Linked DNA regions of Caenorhabditis elegans. The protein of the gene in region 2 purifies or fractionates together with the protein of the main gene of each other region. This does not show direct contact. Each region holds a gene or a part of one and is shown on either strand. Other genes may lie near its edges.

The links.
Region 1: the proteins of pat-6 (region 2) and B0024.11 fractionate together in Caenorhabditis elegans (co-fractionation; one large-scale study listed by BioGRID). This does not show direct contact.
Region 3: the proteins of pat-6 (region 2) and cth-2 fractionate together in Caenorhabditis elegans (co-fractionation; one large-scale study listed by BioGRID). This does not show direct contact.

The regions. Positions count from the first base shown.
Region 1 is NC_003283.11:10,316,992-10,323,043, reverse strand, and holds B0024.11 (Putative pseudouridine synthase B0024.11), read left to right. Parts: upstream 1-3,509; coding exon 3,510-3,618; intron 3,619-3,668; coding exon 3,669-4,083; intron 4,084-4,128; coding exon 4,129-4,415; intron 4,416-4,458; coding exon 4,459-4,569; intron 4,570-4,614; coding exon 4,615-5,065; intron 5,066-5,109; coding exon 5,110-5,470; 3' UTR 5,471-5,552; downstream 5,553-6,052. Other genes in the region: crim-1 (Cysteine-rich motor neuron 1 protein-like), read left to right, coding at 1-18, 66-187, 233-325, 376-475; srdf-3 (Polyprenal reductase), read right to left, coding at 829-951, 1,000-1,265, 1,312-1,503, 1,928-2,076, 2,127-2,326; gna-1 (Glucosamine 6-phosphate N-acetyltransferase), read left to right, coding at 2,893-3,390; asps-1 (TUG ubiquitin-like domain-containing protein), read left to right, coding at 5,650-6,052.
Region 2 is NC_003282.8:259,895-268,008, reverse strand, and holds pat-6 (Paralyzed arrest at two-fold protein 6), read left to right. Parts: upstream 1-3,776; 5' UTR 3,777-3,784; coding exon 3,785-3,952; intron 3,953-3,997; coding exon 3,998-4,073; intron 4,074-4,118; coding exon 4,119-4,306; intron 4,307-4,366; coding exon 4,367-4,501; intron 4,502-5,048; coding exon 5,049-5,339; intron 5,340-5,394; coding exon 5,395-5,613; intron 5,614-5,949; coding exon 5,950-6,000; 3' UTR 6,001-6,123; downstream 6,124-8,114. Other genes in the region: T21D12.12 (BPTI/Kunitz inhibitor domain-containing protein), read right to left, coding at 145-258, 303-393, 1,388-1,558; pqbp-1.1 (WW domain-containing protein), read left to right, coding at 6,329-6,546, 6,599-6,725, 6,770-6,877, 7,092-7,333, 7,662-7,809. UniProt on the Caenorhabditis elegans protein: Involved in the regulation of cell adhesion and cytoskeleton organization. Component of an integrin containing attachment complex, which is required for muscle development and maintenance.
Region 3 is NC_003280.10:7,055,684-7,061,354, reverse strand, and holds cth-2 (Putative cystathionine gamma-lyase 2), read left to right. Parts: upstream 1-3,394; 5' UTR 3,395-3,411; coding exon 3,412-3,486; intron 3,487-3,534; coding exon 3,535-4,156; intron 4,157-4,557; coding exon 4,558-5,039; 3' UTR 5,040-5,171; downstream 5,172-5,671. Other genes in the region: ZK1127.3 (EAF7 family protein), read right to left, coding at 5,307-5,429, 5,471-5,671.

The DNA.
Region 1 (6,052 bases), on a different chromosome or scaffold from region 2:
AATAAGAAAAGCAACAAGGTTCGCTTTAAATGCAATTGAGTCTATTAAAATAGGTTCAATTTCAGCTGCACAAGTTCAACGAAGTCGGCCAAATAGCATCGGGGGGAGCATCAACAGTAAGACTTTCAGCGTCAAAAACAATTGGATCCATGCCAAGACTCGTGGATTGGAAGGACACGAGAGAAGAGTATGTAACACAAATCAAATACTTTATTTTTAAAAAATATTTCAGAAGTACGGAGGAATTGTTGAAGACATCAACTAATCATGTTCGACACGACTCGCAGAATTCAGATGATCAATCAGACAGTTTGCTTTCTACAATGTATGCTTCAATTTTCTATTTTCATCGCATTCTCCGTGAATATTTTTCAGGAGTGATACTTCGACAGCACCTTCTACAATTTCTTCTTCTGGACACGTGCCGATTTCAGACACACAACCACTGACACCGAAGCATCGATATCCAGTATAATTAAACCATCCTTTGTTTTTCTTACTTCCTCATTCTCATTGCGGGTTCAAAATTCGCATACAATTTTTACTCGTACAGTTTCTGTCACATGTTCGAGTTTTTCATTTCAATCATCTAATTATGAATCCACCTTCTCATCCACAATCAATTTAACTCACGATGCGGGTCATCCTTGTCCCTGATTTTAATGAAAAAGCTTTTCGTCTCGTCAGTTCATGTAATGTGTTTTGTACAGTTATGTTGCACACATTTGGATTAATAAACTATAAATAATTGCTTTATAAATTTTGGTTTATGACAAGAATCTAGCGACACGAGTAGCGAAAAAATAAAAAGAAACCGGGAGAAGAGCATCATAGAACGTAAGGAATGAGAGCTTTCCGACTTTTCGGATATTTTGGGAATGTTTTGTGGTACCAGGAGTGAGTGATGAGAGCAGCAAACGTTTGATTGATGCACACGAACATGATTATGAACTGAAACGGATTTTTTTAGAAGAAAAACGGATGAAACTGACAACTTACTCTATACACGTAGGCATCAGGAATTACAAGAAAAAGTGACAAGTAGATGCATATCTCGAATAGAAAGTGAGGACATGAGACGAGATTGAACCAACCACCAAAGCAGATACCATAGGCGTAATTGCGAATTAGTCCTCTAGGACCTTTTCTTGTATTTGCTATTTGTTCGGCTAGCTGATGTTGTTTCCAATTGCAAATCCAAAAAAGGACAGCTCCAGCCCATTGGGTGAGAGAAATATCATCAATTGACACGTGAAGCTGAGGTACTGTGAAAATAAATTACTAGAACATTTCAGATAAGTATCTTCTTACATTTGGAAGCAACTCCCTGTGTTTCACACATAATTGAAATTGGCAGAATGATGTAGTGGACTATCCCAACTGCATAGTGAAACAAGTTCATACGACTGTCCGAGTAAACACTGACAAATATTGTTTCATAGAGACGTCGTGCTACGTGAAGGCTTATGAGCAGGAGAGCCAAGATTGATGTGCTTGGGGTAACTGAAAACATATTTATTTCAACTTAAAAGTGTATAATATGATATTCTAATCAAATTTCTAATTTCTGAAAATTTGAGTCAAAGTTTTGGTAATTTGCCAAATGGTATTTATCTATTTTTAAATTTACGAAACGTTTGAAGTTTTTGAAAAATTTAAAGCAACACCACATGTTTGAAGCCCTACAGTGATTACATAAAATATTTGAAACATTATTAAAATATAACATTTGTAGAATACAATATTTTTGTTGTTTTACAAAATTGAGTAATAGACACTTTTTGACTGAAAATAAAAAGTTTAAGTTCTACTGAAAATTGAAAACAATGAAATTAATACAACTGCGTCGCGACTTCGCATATATTCCAAAAACCACTAATCAAAAAAAAAAAAAGAAAATCACTTTTTTTTTAAAAGAAAAACTTACTTGGTGGTATACTGTAGGATCGTGTTAGCGTGGCAAGAATCTTGAGAACCACTGGATGCAGATAATTAGGATTGTAGATTAACGAGTGGACAGTGTGTAGACATATAAAAAGTGTTAGAAGACCGATTGCGTAAAAATGCTTAAACCATCTGAAAAATTTCAGACAAGGATAGAACTCCCAAAGACTAACTGTACTCACTTTTTAGGTACAGATATTTTTTCTACCAAAGAGTTATCTTCTTGTTGATCAGCAGCTTTTCCATATGTAGTTAGTGCAGGTATCAATCGACAAACGTGAGGACATATGAGAGTAAAACAACATGAAATGGCAAGTCCAAGCGTAGATACTAACAGATAAAGGGGCAGTGCTTGGCGCACTTCCCAAAGTCTATCTAACATTCTGAAATGAATAATTGTATAGAAAAATCAATGGACACAGAAAAATAAAGTCAAAAACGGAAACAAGAAGAAAAGAGCGGAAATGAGTAATGGAAACATTTTTGGACGAGGGAGGAGCCGACGCAGAGTTTCTTTTTCTGAGGAGAGAATACGCCAAACGAGTGCAGCTGCAAGTGTGTAAGTGCGCGATGAGAAAGTAAATAGAAAAACCAATGGCAGATACTGGGCAGTTGGAGTTTTGAAAAAAAAATAAAGAAAAAAAGAAGTAAAACGTTTTCTTTTGATTTCACAGGTCGTTCAATGTAAAATGTTTCTAAAATGTTTGTCCGAGAGGAGTACATGGCCGAGAGAACGCGTGGCCGTGGCCTAGTTCTAGGAACAATTTTAAACGTTGATTTATTTATTTTTTGCGTCGATTTGGAACAAATCTCCGCATCGTTCGAGTTATAATTTCTCTCCTTATTTTAATTTTCATTTTTTCAAATATTTAGCAAGCTGCGCTAGATTCCTCCTAAGTTTTTCTCATTCGTTCGAACGATTTGTCATCACTTTTCTTCAGAGAAAATATGTCTCACATTTTTGATGCGTCTGTGTTAGCTCCACACATTCCTTCGAATCTTCCTGACAATTTTAAAGTTCGTCCCTTGGCAAAAGACGATTTCTCGAAAGGATATGTTGATCTTCTGAGTCAGTTGACTTCGGTCGGAAATCTTGATCAGGAAGCATTTGAAAAGCGATTTGAGGCGATGAGGACCTCGGTCCCCAATTATCATATAGTCGTCATCGAAGATTCCAATTCTCAAAAAGTTGTTGCATCTGCCAGTTTGGTTGTCGAAATGAAGTTCATTCACGGGGCAGGAAGTCGCGGAAGGGTTGAAGATGTTGTCGTGGATACTGAAATGCGTCGTCAAAAATTAGGAGCCGTTCTTTTGAAGACTCTTGTTTCTCTTGGAAAGTCTCTCGGAGTTTACAAAATTTCTCTCGAGTGTGTTCCTGAACTTCTCCCATTCTACTCACAATTCGGGTTCCAGGACGATTGCAATTTTATGACTCAGCGCTTCTAAATTTCACACGTTAATTCATTGATTATTCTGCTAATGGGGTCTTGTAATATGGTTTTTACGCATAATTTGTTTTATCGTTTGGTCTGATTTCTTTCATGTATTTATTGAATAAAGTTTAGATGGAAACCGAATTTGGATTGACCGAGTATGCCAGTGAGCATACAATCACTCCTGTGCCCTGCCTACTGAAAGAAATGTACAGTGACTTCATCGTTCAAGAAATTTTAGGTTATTTAATCAAACTCAATTAATGTTACTAGAATTAATTTTATTTTCAGCCGACCACACAGTTTTGGCCATTCCATCGCCAGATGTTGTCCTAGAAAGTACTGGGTCCAAAAAAGAAGACATTGAGATCGAAGAGTGTGTTGCTAAGCCAGATTGCATCTCAGAAGAGACATTAGCTGCATTAAATGACCGATTCTCTACGAAAGGAGATCCCGTTCTTGTAAAAGTTGACGATTTGAGCAAGGAAGATCGAAAAAGCATTCATCATTTCATTAGAGAGCGGTATGCTGGAGTTTTAATCACCGAAACGAAGGAAGATGGAATTCTGGTATCTCATGGTCATACGAAGAGCAGTCGGAAGCGAAAACTATGGGATGAAAAAGTTCCAAAGGAATGTCACTTCACCATTTGCAAAGAAAATAAAGAGACTAGCTTTGCTTGCCAACTTATTGCAAAGTTTTTAAAGTAAGTTGTAATTTAGAAAAAAACTTTTTAAAAAGTAATTTTCAGTGTGGGCCCGAACAATATCAGAACTCACGGAATTAAAGACAAGAGAGCTGTGACTTCACAGAGAGTTAGTGTTACTAAAGTGCATGAGCGAACGATTCTGGATTTGAATTCGAAACTCCGCGGTATTCGAGTCTTTGGATGTGAGTATAAAGATGACCCAGTTCAAATGGGAGCTCACTGGGGAAATCGATTCAGCATTGTACTAAGAAGCTTGCCTGACGATTCGGAACAATTGCTCCATCAAAGACTGGAAACATTCCAAAATACGGGATTCATCAACTATTTCGGTGAGTATCGGTGGTGAGTATCAATAGACCTCATAACCTTCAGGTACTCAACGATTTGGTTCACGAAGTTCTACGACAGCCGAAATCGGATTAGCTATTGTGAAAAGAGACTGGGAGAAAGCAGTCAAAATGATCATGACTAATGCTATGCCCGGTTAGCGCTAAAACATTAAAAAAAAAGAAAATTAATATTTTTTAGATCATCTGGGATACGGGTCAGTTGGCTACGCCGCTAAGTGCTTTTCCCAAACTGGGGATGCTAGAAAAGCATTTTCCAAGCTGAAAGGAGCTCAGGCTTTTGCTACAGTCGAAGGAAATATTTTGAAGTGTCTCTCGAAAGGAGGAACATGGCAAAATTGTATTACTGAAGCAATTCCGATTCAAAGCCGCAGTCTTTATGTCCACGCTTATCAAAGCCTCATTTGGAATAAAGTAGCTTCTCGTCGAGTTAAGGAATATGGTACTCGAGTACATGAAAGTGACGTTGGAGCCAATGGATTCTCTCTTGGCGAGCATGCAACTCATTATGATATCCATATACCACTACCGGGAGAAAACTTGCCATTTGAGGGTAGTTATGGCGCTAAGTGGATCTCTGAATTGCTTGAAGAAGATGGACTCACTCAATCGAGCTTCACAGCACTAAAAGAGTAAGTTTCCTGGTCCAAGTTCAATCAATGTAATATATTTTAAGTCGGTTTTCACTTGGCGAATCATCAAGATGCTTGTTTGTTGAAGCGAAGGAGCTCAAATGGAAGTTTATTCGATATGGAAATGCACGAGATCTCTTGCAAGATGGATTACAAACACGTGCTATCCCAGAAGCAGAACAGAAAGGTCCACTTCTGGCATTGCAAATTCAGTTTAGCTTGATATCTGGATCATATGCAACTGTAGCTCTTCGTGAGGTAACTGGAAGTGATATGGGCAAGAAGGCTATGAGAGATGCTTCGTTCAAAACACGTGGTGACGATGAAAAAACTGAAGAAAATGTGTTGGAAGAAAAAGGATCCGATGATGCGAATGAGCTGAATCTTGTTTCAGAGGACCAATGATACAACAGTTTCAATGTTTCATTTTATTTTTATTGTTAACCTTTTTGTTATTTGTTGTGAATTTATAAAATTGCTTATGTTCGGTGAGGTGTATTTATTTAATTCTGGTTGATTTCCAACTTTTCCGTTTATTTTTTTGTAATGCCACTCTACTCTTATCAGTTCATAATATTTTGCAGATGAGTTCCTTGAACATAATCTGCCCAAATGCAAAAAGGGTTCAAATAAAAACCACTCCAATGATGCTGATGAGGCAAGTTCTCGAAGAAGCTTGTCTGAAAAGTGGTTTTGAAGTAAACAGTCATCGTCTTCAAACACAATCTCGTAAACCCATTGACTCTTCTCTTCCATTTCGACTCACCGGACTCGCCAACAATGCAACTCTCGAAATGACACAAAAGGAAGCTGTATCCGAGAATACGATTATTGAACTAGCTATTCAGACTGCTTCTGGAGCTCGCCATCAGAAGAAAGTAGGTGTAAACCAGATGCTCTTAGATGCCTTGAAAAGTTTCACGAGCGAGTTCAAAGAAGATTTAGCGACGACAATTGATGGATCCGTTCCGTGCATTGTCTACATGA
Region 2 (8,114 bases):
TCTTTCACATTTGAATAAATATTTACACATCGAAACAGAGTTTTTAGTTCTAAAACACCAGTGTTCAGACAAAGTACAAACCGCTTTAAACTTGTGTTTTAAAGATCACTATAACTTTTCAAAATCTCTTCAGAAAATAGTAACCTTTTGTTGGACAGCATTGTTGATTTTGACACTCGTAACCATGTGGGCAATTCGAACATCCAACAGTCTGACCAGAAGTGGCTCCAGCTGGGTATGCTCCAGATGGACATACAGCTGAAAAACTATTATACACCTTTGTCATCCATTGTTCAACTAACCGTAAGCTAAATCGTCAGAAGCAGTCGCGTTCCGGCAAGCTGATTCACAAGCCTCTTTCGATTGGAATCGATTGGAGTTGCCGTCGCATCCCTAAAATTGTTTTATTCATTTTAATTGAACGTTTTTCCAAGAAGTATACTATTCTGTTAAATTCAACGAGAAATTTCCGTTTGTGAGAAGATAAGGTATATTCCTAGCATCAGCTCAAGCACAAGCTAAGAATATACCGTAAGTATGGCCCTTAGCCTGGGCATAAGCCTAACCTTAGCCTATGACAAAACCTAAGCCTAACTAGGGAACCATCAGAAGGTGCCCATCAGACTTGCATATGAAACCTATGCCATTCGATAGCCCATGTCTTAAAACGGTTACTCGTGAATTTTTAGCTGCGAATCTCCAGAACCAAGGTCACTGCGAGCTCTCAAAGATTCTAAAATAGCACTATAACGAAGCACTGTAACGATGAAAAGAAGCAATTTTCCAAATTCACTTTGGTAGCCTATATCTCCGTGGATATATTTTTTACAGAAAAGTCATCAACTAAAAATTTTTTTGATAAAAACTTGTAGTTGAAAGTTTTTATCAAAAAAATTGTTGTTTCAGATTTAACTAAAAACTTGTTCTTTACAACAATATCAACAACTTTTTAGTTGATGACTTTTCTGTAAAAAATTTATCGGCGGAGATATGAGCTACCAAAGTGAATTTGGAAAATTGACCTTTCAAAGCTTCGTTACAGTGCTATTTTAAGATCTTTGAGAGCTCGCCGTGAGCTTGGTTCTGGAGATTCGCAGCTAAAAATTCACGAGTAACCGTTTTAAGACATGGGTTATCGAATGGCATAGGTCTCATATGCAAGTCCGATGGGCACCTTCTGACGGTTCCCTAGTAAGCCTCCTCCGAGACTAAAAATTTTGGAGTGACCTTCTATTAAGGTCCTCTTTCAATTATAATAGGTTTCATTCGGAAGTCCGAGGACGAGCTGAAAGGCTTCCCTTGTCAGCCTAACTCTAAACCAAAGCTTAAGCCTAAACCTAAACCTAATATAGGTAGTATGCTAAAGGACTACTGGAAAAAACAGTACCTGATAGAAAAATGGCTGACATGTGCGGGTATTCTTGTGGAAATAAAATGAGCGGGCTCCCTGCTGACCACATCCAGAATTTCCAGTATCGCGAGCGGAAAAACAATCTGTCTGCTGTTGAGCAAAGCAAAATGTTATGAAAATGGTGGAAATCGTAATTGCAGTTAGCATTGTCTGAAAAAATACAATTTTTTTTACCCGTTAATGATCAATGAGAGTGGAATAATATTACTAGCCAATGCCAATTAAAAGCAGAAACCAAAAAGAAAACTTCAATTCTCGAATGATCTTTTCCTATTTTATACTCAAATTCCTAGCAATATTTACTTAAGAATCTTCGTCCCACCTACATAACTAAGATTTGGCAAATATCAAAAGTTTGGTCAACAGGAAAATGTTCAAAATTGAGTTGGTGGTTAACAAATAACCTACACATTCTCCCGAAAAAGAATTCATTAAAGATCAATGGGCACGATTGAAAACATGGCAAAGTTTTATTGAAAAATGAAAAACAGGCAAATATTTGGCTGAAATCGCTCAGTTTTCAGAAAATATCCACACTTTGACTGAAAATGGTGTAGGAATTGATGTAATAACAAGAGACAACAATCGATGTGGTTCCGTTTTTACAAATCGAATTGTTGATAACAAAGAAAATAAGGGAGCGTTTTGAAAATGAAGGAACTGGTTTTTCGATTGTACGAGATACAATAGTTCTTGACACAGACACCTACAATTTGTTGATAACGAAGGATAGACGCATCGGGTTGATGATTAAACAAATTTGAAGGAAGTACACGAAATTTCAAAAATTTAAAGGTGGAGTAGCGTCAATGGGGATTTTGTCTAAATACGCTTATTATGATTTCAAACGACCGAATATCATAATAAAACTACAAAAATTTTTAGATTTTCCCTAATTTCGGTCAAAGTTTTGGCACATTACCAAAATTTTGACAAATATGAGCTTTTGAGGACATCCAAAGCAATGTCGCATATTCCGGTCTTTACAATGATTCAACAAAAATAATTGAAACAAAATTACAGTATAAAAAATGTAGGAAAAATAATTTTTTTTGGTCGACTTCCAAAATTATGAGTGGCAAAAACTGAATATTGAACACTTTTTGACAGTGAATAAAAATTTTTCAAAAAAGTTTTGAAAAGTTTTATTATGATTATTTGTCACTTTGGCACCATAGGAGTATTTTTTAACACTTACTCCATTGGCCCTACTCCACCTTTAATAATTTTCAGATTTCCTAATTTTCTAGATTGCATGCTAATTTTTACAATTACTAGTTCAATGTTTCTTAATCTGATTTCGGTTTAATGCAACTATTATCATACGCCAGGAAATCGAATGTACCGTACGTATAATCAATGTAACTGATGTGATTTTTCATAATTTTTTCCTAAAATTGTTTTTCAAAATTTTTTCAAAAATTGCTATGGAAAAAACTATTTTCAAAAGACCGACCTGTGGACCGACTGTACCGTATTTCCTCTATTAGTCTTGCACTCCTACAGACTAATTGAAAATCAGTCTTACAGCCTGTAATAGTCTAGCACCCCACTTTTTGTCATATTAGCAGAACTTTGTGGAAACGTAAGCAAATTTATCATTTTTGGAGTAAATCAAATGTAAAATCGTTCAAATAATTGATGTAATATTGGGAAAGTATGTATTTTTCATTGTTTGAACGGTCAAAATTGTATCACTTTCCAAAGTTCGAAAAATAGTTTTCAGTCTCTATTAGTCTTGCACCCCTAAAGACCAATTGAAAATTAGTCTCGCATGCAAGACTAATAGCGAAAATACGGTAAATGCAGAGTTGTTGTCTTTCTTAATTTATTTTTATTTTTATTTATTTGAATATTAGTTGTTATATGGACGTCCTTTTCTTTCTCAATACATATGCATATACAAATATTAACTTTCCGTTCTTCTTTCCTATTCCCATACATTTATATGTATCCCAAAGCCTTCTCTCTCCCCCACACACACCATTTATCTGCACCATCCTCTTTTCACCCAATCTCTCATTTGTCGTAAACTCTCCTTCCAACTCTACGTCTCTTATTGTTCCCAACACTCTCTCACTTTTTCAACACTGACGACGGCTGTTTTACACTATCTGCTGGCCTGGATGGGGACTTTTGTGTTGCTCTACGGAAAGAATCCTCCCACACAATATTTTTACTGCTATTTGAACATTGAATTATCGATTTTTCAAATTTAAATTTAAGTGCTTAAAGAGGAAATGTTCCAAAACAGAGTTTCATAATGAGACTTCAAAATTTTTTTAACTTATCAATATCTAATTGTACTTTATTTTTTATTATGAATCAACAAATATTTACCCCTTAATAATTTTAAACTTTTCAGCAATAACCATGTCAACACTTGGTCGTAGTAAGACCCCATCTCGTGACGAACCAAAAAAGCCTGGAGTCTTTGAGAAACTCTCTGGTACCCTTTCTCGAAAGAAGAAGGCGCCGGAAGATGAGCATGGAAACCAAGGGGGTGCACATCATGCTACTGATGAAGATGAAGTTTTGGAGGTTAGTTTTGCAAATTAATGGTTTTAGCAAATATAGATTTTTCAGCTTGAACTTGAAGGTCGTGAGGCTCTCGATCAGTCATTGGTCCCAGTTCTTGCAAGAAACATCTGGTTGGAAGAAGGTAAACGGTTTCACCAATATATTTATCCAATATATTTTTTTCCAGGAGAAATTCGTCGTTATCTGACTAAGGAAACAGCCCGCGATCAGAAGTTGGCACAAGTTGTCGATTTGCTGATCTACTGGCTTAATGAAGAGCTAGCTGATCAAAGAATTGTCGTTCGTCACTTGCAAGAAGATCTTTTCGATGGTCAAATCATCCAGAAGCTGTTGGAAAAGTTGGAGCAGATTCGAGTAAGTTATTGGTACAATTTCACAAATTGAATAAATTCTCCACTCACAGTTTTGTTACAGATCGAGGTTCCAGAAGTTTCGCAGTCAGAAGAAGGACAACGTCAAAAACTGCAAATTGTAGTTCAAACAGCCAATCGAATTCTCGGACAGCCAAGAGAACAAGAGAAATGGTCTGCGGATCTTATTCATCAAAAGGTACGCAAATCTTTGTCTGAATTGTTCATTTCTATCAGTCTTACATTTCATTGTGCAGATGTTTGACGCACTGTAGACAAAAGAGTTTCTCACTCGAAGCTGTTCCAAAAACTACCGTATATTCTATATTAGTATGATATGTTAATCTGTGGACACCTCCGCCACACAATACTATTCATCATTTACTATATATAAAGCGCTTATTCTGTGTGTCCATAGTTTGTAGTCTATGTAGTCTTTGTAGTCTGTGAAGTTTTGGCTTCTTGGGATAGTGAGTTGGGGTTAGTGTAGGGATATAGTCGAAGTACTGTATTGGCACAATAGTGGTACGGTAGGAATACTGTAGTTTCAGAAAAAATCAGTTTTCACCCCCAGGTCCACGGCTGGTAATCTATATAGAAATTCGTGAACTGCAATACTAATTTTCGAGGTGGTTTTTGGATGCAAAACTTATTGAGAATATACGATAGTTGAACGCAACAGTACTTTTCGAATAAACAGAGTTACTTTCCATATTTTATATTTTCTCATAAAAGAATATTCCCAGGACTTCACTGCCATCATCCAGCTCCTGGTGCTTCTTGCTCTTCACTACCGTGCTCCAGTTCGATTCCCAGATAACGTGGTTGCTAACGTTGTGGTGGCTCAAAAGGAACATGGTCAAGTGAAGACCCATCGAATTACTGAGCAAATCACTACAGTTCAAACTGAGTTGGCACCGAAGGGCACTCGTGACGCATTTGATACGCTTTTCGATTATGGACCCGATAAGTTGGCTCATGTGAAGACATCTTTGTTGGCTTTTTGTAATAAGCATTTGAATAAAATTAATCTGGAAGTAAGTTTATTCACTTCATTGTGCTACAAAGAAGCTGATATTTGTAAATTTTTAGGTGTCTGATTTGGATAATCAATTCCAGGACGGAGTTTTCTTAGTTCTCCTAGTGGGACTTCTTGAAGGTTATTTCGTCCCGCTTTACCATTTTAATCTCCAAGTTCAAAGCCACGAGGAGAAAGTAAAAAATGTGCAATTTGCGTTCAAACTTATGGAAGACACTGGCCTTGAGAAGCCTAGATCTCGTGTTCAGGATATTGCCAATGGAGATGTTAAGGTTTGTAGTTTTGACAATTTACAGAAAAATATACCATTTTCCTAATTTAATTCAATTTACAATCCTCAATTTTAAATAGTGCAAAATTTTAAGGGATTGAAATCAAAGTGTAATCGCGCTTCAGCCGGAAATGAAAATGTCCCGCCTCCTTTAATTGGGTCTCGTTAGGTATCGCCATTTGGTTGAAGCGCGATTACATTCGCAGTTGTCGAATTTTCTTTTCACGACGATTCAGCAATCCCGAAGAATTTTAAACAAGTGGCAAAAACAAATTTTCTGCTCATATCTGATGCGATGGATTTTCTATATACAATCCTAATTCATTCTTTATTGCAGAGCACTCTCCGTCTTCTCCATTTGCTTTTCACTAAGTACAAACATATCTAATCTGAGAACTTCATTCGTCATCCTAATCAAACGACACCGTCCAATAATTTGTGTCTGGCTCAACAACTATGGTGCTTTAATTTTGTTAAAATTGCATTTATGTCAATAAATCTTTTAATTTTTAGACTTAGCACTATATTAAATTAAAGAAATTGGCAAATTCCGAAAAAAAAACTCTATTTGAACTCCCTCGTAAAGGAGATTTGCAATGGGGCGCGTTTGCATTAATAAAATTTAATGCATTTTCTCATCGATTCTTTTATTCTTGTTTCTTTATTTTAATTAATATGAATTGATTGTATATAAAATTGTATTTATTTTACAGAAAATGCCTCTTCCACCAGCTCTTCTCGCTCGACTTCAAAAAAGGGGAATTGTAAAGCAAGAAGAAGAGGTTATCGCTGAAAACTATGAAAAAGAGCCAGAAAAGAAAAGTTTCGAAGAGAATTCGGCAGGAGCACCTGGTTGTCCAAATAAATGGAATCAATATCACGTTTGCCTCGAATTTTGCTATGATCATTGGGGCGATGGAACTCCGGAATATCGGTTTGTTTTGAATTTTAGCGAAAAATTAATTAAAAATCGTTTTTTTTTGCAGGTTGCCCGAGAGATATGTGCAGAACAAAAACAGAATGCTTGCAAAGTTTCCACTTCCCGAAAATTGGGTTGAAGTCTATGATGAGGGACTTGCGAAGTATTATTTCTGGAATAAAACAACAGATGAGGTGAGAAGCAGAATAATTTTCTGATTTTAATTGGTTTTTTTCAGGTTTGTTGGTACTCGCCTCGTCATCCACGAGCTATTATCAGTGATCCAGCTCCTCGAATCGCCAGAGAGCATGCTACAGTGCTTTTTGGAGATTCTCACGCATCTGAGGTAGAATTTGAAGCTGAAATCGTACTTAATGGGTATCGCCGCCGGAAAAAAGTAGCTTGTACTTTTATTTTTGCTATTTTCAACAGTTTGCTCAAGAAATTCTAGAAAAAAACTTTCATGGACAAAACGCGGCGAGACTCATTTATAAGGATCCGAGCGCCTTTAAATACGAATTTCCGAACATTTATTCTTTAAAACTATGTACTTTTTCCAGGAGGACAATGCCGCCCGCCGCAGAAATTTCCACAACAAGAAAACTTCACGCGGAGGGAATGATGATAAGCAATCACGTGGCAATAATGCTGAAAAGCGGAAGCGACGTGATCCGATGACGTCACAGGGTCCAGATTCAGATGAAGACGAGTTACAGGAAATGACAAATAAGGATAGACTGAAAAGAGCAAAAAGGAAAGGAATTGATCCAATGGATCCAGCAGCTTATGGAGATGCTCCAGTGTAAGCTTTTTTTTCTAAAATTCTGTTTCTGAAGCGAAAAAATTAGAATTTTCAAGAAATTGGATTCAAAAATTCAAAAATTTCGAGAAACATAAATAAAATCTCAAATTTAAAATCTCCAACTTCTCCGTTTTTCAGCGGTCTAATTTTAGCTAAATTTATAGTTTTTCTTCAGAAAATTATAATTTTCCATTTGAAATTTGGGGAATACGGTAGCTTCAAAAGTACGCAACCCGAAAATACAACGTTTCCGGCGAAATGTCGATATGAAAAAATTATGAAAAATAATATTTGAGCGAAAAAATTTGATTTTTATATGATATTTCAGTGGAAAATGGTCGGATGGTCTTCGAGTTGATCAGGTGACTGGAGCCGACGTGACTGCTGGTGGACCACTTTTCCAACAAAGACCCTATCCTGCTCCGGGAGCAATTCTCAGAAAGCAGAAACCACAGGATGAAGAGGACGATCAATAATTCAATTTTATTGTTTTAATTTTTGATTATTTTAATTCAAAATTCCTACTCCACTTCCTTCCAAAAGTTCTGTCATTTCCTACTATTTATTTGTTCTGTTTTGTACCGTTGTACCTGTATCTTTTTCTTTTTCTATGCACATAAATGTGCTCAGACATCTGAATTTTTCTCTGTGCTTCTCCAAAACATTTCCATAAATTCATCAACTGTTTCTATGCATTAAATAAAACGTACAATAGAAAAAAAGCAGCAATGGAGAGATAAACTGAGAAGATGGTAGTAATTGAAATATTACAGGAACACTA
Region 3 (5,671 bases), on a different chromosome or scaffold from region 2:
AGTTTCAATCCCAATGCTGAATGCTCAAATTTCTCTGTGCTCTTTTCTCCTCTTCACACTTTTTCCGCTTTCCGCTTCTCTGTTCCGCATCGATTTTCCATCCGCTTCTCCCATTTCCATCTCTAGTTTCTTCTTTCTCTTTCTACTCTTCATTTTCCACCAATTCGTTTCGTTTTCTGTATATGATCAAGTTTATTTTAATTCCATGTACTAATTGCCAAATTAACCATAAACATCAAAATTCCTAATCAAATCCTCAATTGCTGATGAAATAATTTCTAAAACTCGTAATATTTTTTCTAAAGAACACATCGTAGTCATTTCATTACTACAAAAAAACATATGTTTTTCCTATAATGATGACAAAACACAAATCGACACGAGGAGGTCAAATGATGACAATGACAAATCAGAAAAGTTGGAAGGAAACGTATATAAAAGGACGAATTATGAAGTTCAGTTGCTAGACAATATGTCTATTTGCTTTTCAACTAACAAGCATAAAAAATTTGCACTTTTTTTTAACTTTGAGTTTAACTTTCAGCTGAAAATAGAAAATTACACTGATATTTTCAAAAATTCTAGGAATTTTAAATGTCCTCTGCATTCTGAACTTGAAATTGTCAAATATCAATTTTCTTTTTCAGTTTTCTATTTTTCAAAGAGCTCTTCAACTTTCAAAAGTCCCCATCCATCCGACCAGTAGTTTTTTGTAAAGTATATCATTTCTCTTCATCTCTCAATCATTATGATCTCTAACTCTTCACATCTATCAACATTCTCCATTCCTTCCAAACGGCTGATGCAACTGTCTGCCGCGTGCCGCTCAGATTGAGGGGCGGGAGGTGAGCGGACGCAAAGCAGCGTCCATATAAATTTGCGCAGGAGCATTCACTAGACATGCCATTCTGACCTTTTTCCTCTCTATGTCTATTTAATTTTCAAATCGTAAAAATTTTATAATTTTATCAAGTGAGTAGCACATGGCGAGGTTGGTTTGTTATCTTGAAATTGAAATTAAATTTGAATTTCTGCTGACAAATGTTTTTGAGATAGTGACGTATGTGTCACTGAACTCTTATCAATTGTTGACATACTTAATGAAAAAAACGGAGAATCAAACTTCAATAATCTTTTGCTGTTCTACTTCTTAATATGATATAAGTAAGTATGTTCACAGACCTTTAAAAAATCATTTTTTGTCTACTTTTTCTAGTATCCAGAATACATAAATTGCTTATTATTATTAAAATTAAAAGGTGGGCTTAATTTTTACGACAGTATAGACATGAAACATTTTAAATTTTCGATTTTCAGCCAAGTTCCGGTTGGTTTAAGAATACGAGGTCACCTTCAGAATGTTCTGATAGAATTGAAAATAGCTTTCAAAATAATTATTTATTTGAGGTTTATTAGATCCTTCAGTGAATGTTTTGGCAAATTCGGCAACAACTCCACATTTTTACACCTTTGGTGAAAATTATTAATCTAGTTAGTTAATCTAGTTAATCTAAAATTATGGGTACTTATACATTTAAAAAATTAATTTTTCATTCAAGTAGCAAATTGGTAAAACCTGCTTTCTGATCACAAGCAATAAAATGTAAACCTACTGGTAGCAACTCTACCTATTTCTAAATCTAGAAGAAAATGCAATTGATCAATAAATTGAAACTTTCGCTTTCTTTTTCCTCCTCCTCCAAATTCAAGACTTCCTGCAAATGAAATGTCGTCTCAAATCTTATCTTTTCCACGCCAAGGTTGCCAATTAAAAAACACGTCACAATTATCATCATTTCTATGTATTCAATCCCTATCTGCCTCTTCCAAATGATATTTTGAACTTGAACTCTCTCCTTCTGGTGCCCTTTGTCCAACTGCTCGAGACACACATGTGGCTGGTTTGCAGTAGACACAACGAGAGAATGAGACAAATTCTTCTCTCTTTTTGATAACGAAAAAATGATACGAGACATAGAGAAATCGATGCTTTGAGGATTTGATTTCATCGACATGTTTCTCAAACAAAATACCACATGGTAGACCTCCACGTGGGGTGATTGGCACTGGAATTTGAACTTTTTGAAAAAAAAAACTGTAACATGTGATAAATATTATATCAACTAAACGAAGGAACAAAATAAACATTAAGATAGTGTTCAAACTGCACAATTACGTGATTTCAGTTAATTTAAAATTCCTTCAAGACTTTGGAAACTCTAATAGTAAGTCACGTCAAACTGTGTTATCTTTTGTTTCAAGATCGTCATTAGTAAATACATTTATGATTACTGACTTTCATAGTTTGTAAAAAAAAATAATTGCAGCAAGAACTCTTTGTGAACTTGAGCTGATACATTGTCATGATACTGTTGGCCTACTGTAGTTTGTATGCAGAGCCAGTGGAGATTTTCAAAAAAACTCATCTTATGGTGCTAAAATATAGAAATTTTTATACATCCTTAAATGTTTTCGGAAATTTCTATTATTTATACAACGTTGTAATTACTTAAGTTAGTTCTCTTCTATCCTTTTGGAAGTCGATCAAAATAACATTTTCCACGATTTTTAAGTTTTTACTATAAAAACAAATATTAGTAGGGAGGGATAGGGTCGGGGTACTGTAGGATTAATGTATTTTTGTAGAAACCTCTGTTTCTATTAAAATGTTTCTATTACTAGTATTAGGCCAATTCATGTTAAAAATTAAGATTCTGGTTCGTAGAATGTGACTTGACATTATACAATTCAAATTCCGAACTTTTCAAAAAATACTATAGAATTTACAAATATTCAGCTGTTCACGAAAAAACCATATTTGAGCAATAAAAATTGTTTTTAACCAACATATAAAAACACCACAGAATCCCCAGAAATGTCAAATTTATTACCAAACTTGTGCCAAATACATATTATTTTTTGAAGTATGAAAAATACGCCACCTATCAGTCGTTAATCTTATCTTTTATTTTTCAAATTTCTCAATTTCCCACGCTTCTTCTCATATCCGGTTTTTTCTGCAAAATGGTCTCGTTTGGAGATTTGATAAGAGTGTTTATTCCAGATGTGTACATCATTCAATAGTATCAAACATTGTTCATTCCTTCTTTGCACATCACTATTTATTTTTCTTCTTTTCTTCCGTTTTTAACATCTTGTTTGCCTAATCAGCTACATTCTGTAAAATCTAAAAATAATAGAAGATTAACGTCTTTTTGACCAATGTCAAGAACGTTTTTTTCTTTAACGATTTCATTGAAACTTTCGGCGTGTCGACCGACCCTTCGTTTGACCCCGCCCCTTTCATTCGTTCTTTTTTCTTTTCTCTCCTCTTTCTCTCACACTTATAAATCCATTTGATTATCATTTCTCGACATCAGTCTTCTTATTGCAGCCTGTCTCAAGATTAAAATGGCTACTTTCCCACACTTCGGAACTGCTGCTATCCACGTTGGACAAGAACCAGAGCAATGGGATATGAATCAGGTTTGTCATAGGTATTCTGAATATAAATACTGAACTGATACTTTTCAGGTGGTCCCGCCAATCAGCTTGTCCTCGACCTACAAACAGGATAATCCAGGAGAGCCAAAGGGACACGATTATTCTCGTGCTGGAAACCCAACTCGTGATGTTCTTCAAAAGAATCTGGCTGCTCTCGAAGACGCAAAACACTGCCAAGTGTTCTCTTCAGGACTTGCCGCAACTTCCGCAATCATCAATCTTCTCAAGTACGGAGATCATATTGTGTGCTCTGATGATGTCTACGGAGGTACTCAAAGATATATCCGCCGTGTTGCTGTTCCTAATCACGGATTGGAAGTCGATTCGGTTGATTTGACGGATGTTCAGAATCTCGAGAAAGCAATCAAACCAAATACCAAGATGGTTTGGTTTGAATCTCCATCTAACCCACTTTTGAAGGTTGTTGATATTGCCGCAGTGGTCCAAACTGCAAAGAAAGCCAATCCAGAAATTGTTGTAGTTGTTGATAATACCTTCATGTCTCCATACTTCCAACGCCCAATTTCTCTTGGAGCGGATGTTGTCGTTCATTCAATTACCAAGTATATTAATGGACATTCTGATGTTGTTATGGGTGCTGTTATCACTGATAATGACGAGTTCCAACAACATCTTTTCTTCATGCAACTTGGTTAGTTTACTGTGCTGTTGTACGCAGTGAAATCTAGTCGTATAATTTTGTCATTTTGAGGCATAGATACGGTAACCGGTCTTGAAGCTAGTGAAACTTGGCAGCTACTGTATTCGCAAGTGCTTCGAATTTTTTCTTAACGGTTTTCACTGAATTTCAATATTAATTTCTTCGTGTTTTTCTAGAAAAGAAATCAGTTTCTCTGCTTTAGAAATCATATAAAATACATTGGAACTATAAAAAAAATTGCTAAATACTTGTGGGTACTGTAGAAGCAAAGTTTCGCTCATATCGAGAACATGTACCTTGAGTCAAATGTCGCAAAATTATAAAACTGTTTAAAATCTCATTGGATAGCTAAATTAATCGTTAACTCAAAATTTTAATGCTATTATTTTCAGCCGTCGGAGCAGTCCCATCTCCATTTGATTGCTTCCTTGTTAATCGTGGACTCAAAACTCTTCACATCAGAATGAGAGCTCACTATGAAAATGCTCTTGCTGTTGCCAAATACCTTGAAGCCAATGATCGTATCGAATCAGTTCTCTATCCAGCTCTTCCATCTCATCCACAACATGAAGTTCATGAGAAACAAACAAAGGGAATGTCTGGAATGATCTCATTCTATCTTAAAGGAGAACTTCAAGAGAGTCGTGCTTTCCTTTCTGCTCTCAAAGTATTCACTTTGGCTGAATCTCTTGGAGGATATGAATCACTTGCCGAGCTTCCATCTATCATGACTCATGCTTCAGTGCCTGCTGAAACTCGAATTGTTCTTGGAATCACTGATAACCTTATCCGTATCTCTGTTGGAATTGAAGATCTCGATGATTTGGTTGCTGATTTGGATCAAGCTTTGAAGATTGCCATTCCAAAAGTATAACTTTTCAATCATTTTATGATATGCATTTGTTTCAAATCTGAAAGCCGGTACTAGTTTTAATTGCCCACTCGTCTCCACCACAACCTCTAACTAATCGACTCAAATTGTGTCTTACACTATCCAATAAATTTTTTCTATGAAAAATGATAATTGTTATTCGAAACAGAAATTGGAATACATAACATGATATTTTGCAATTGGTATATGAAAGAAAGGTACACATTGAATTATAATTAGATAGCGTAGAAGGAATCATAGAGAGATCATTTAAGTTTGAATGTCATAATTTTCATCTTCTTCTGTCAATCTTCTGGGGATGGTACTCTTCTTTTCCGACTCGACGATCCCGTTGTCTGTGTTTCTTTCTCTTTCTGCTCTCTTATCTGAAAGCTATGAACAAAAATAAGCAATATCTATTGTTTCAAAATTACCTCGCGCACTTCAGCCATGATATACTCGGGAAGTTCGTAATCGGTGACACTATTAAACTCGCTTGGATACGATTCATTTTCTTCACAGAATCTCAGACCGAACCATTTTTTGAGCTTATCTTCGATCATTTCAAGTGAAGGACGACACAAGTATTTAGGCGGATATGAAGTTCGTTCTGGGCGTCCTCCCATCAAGAGGTC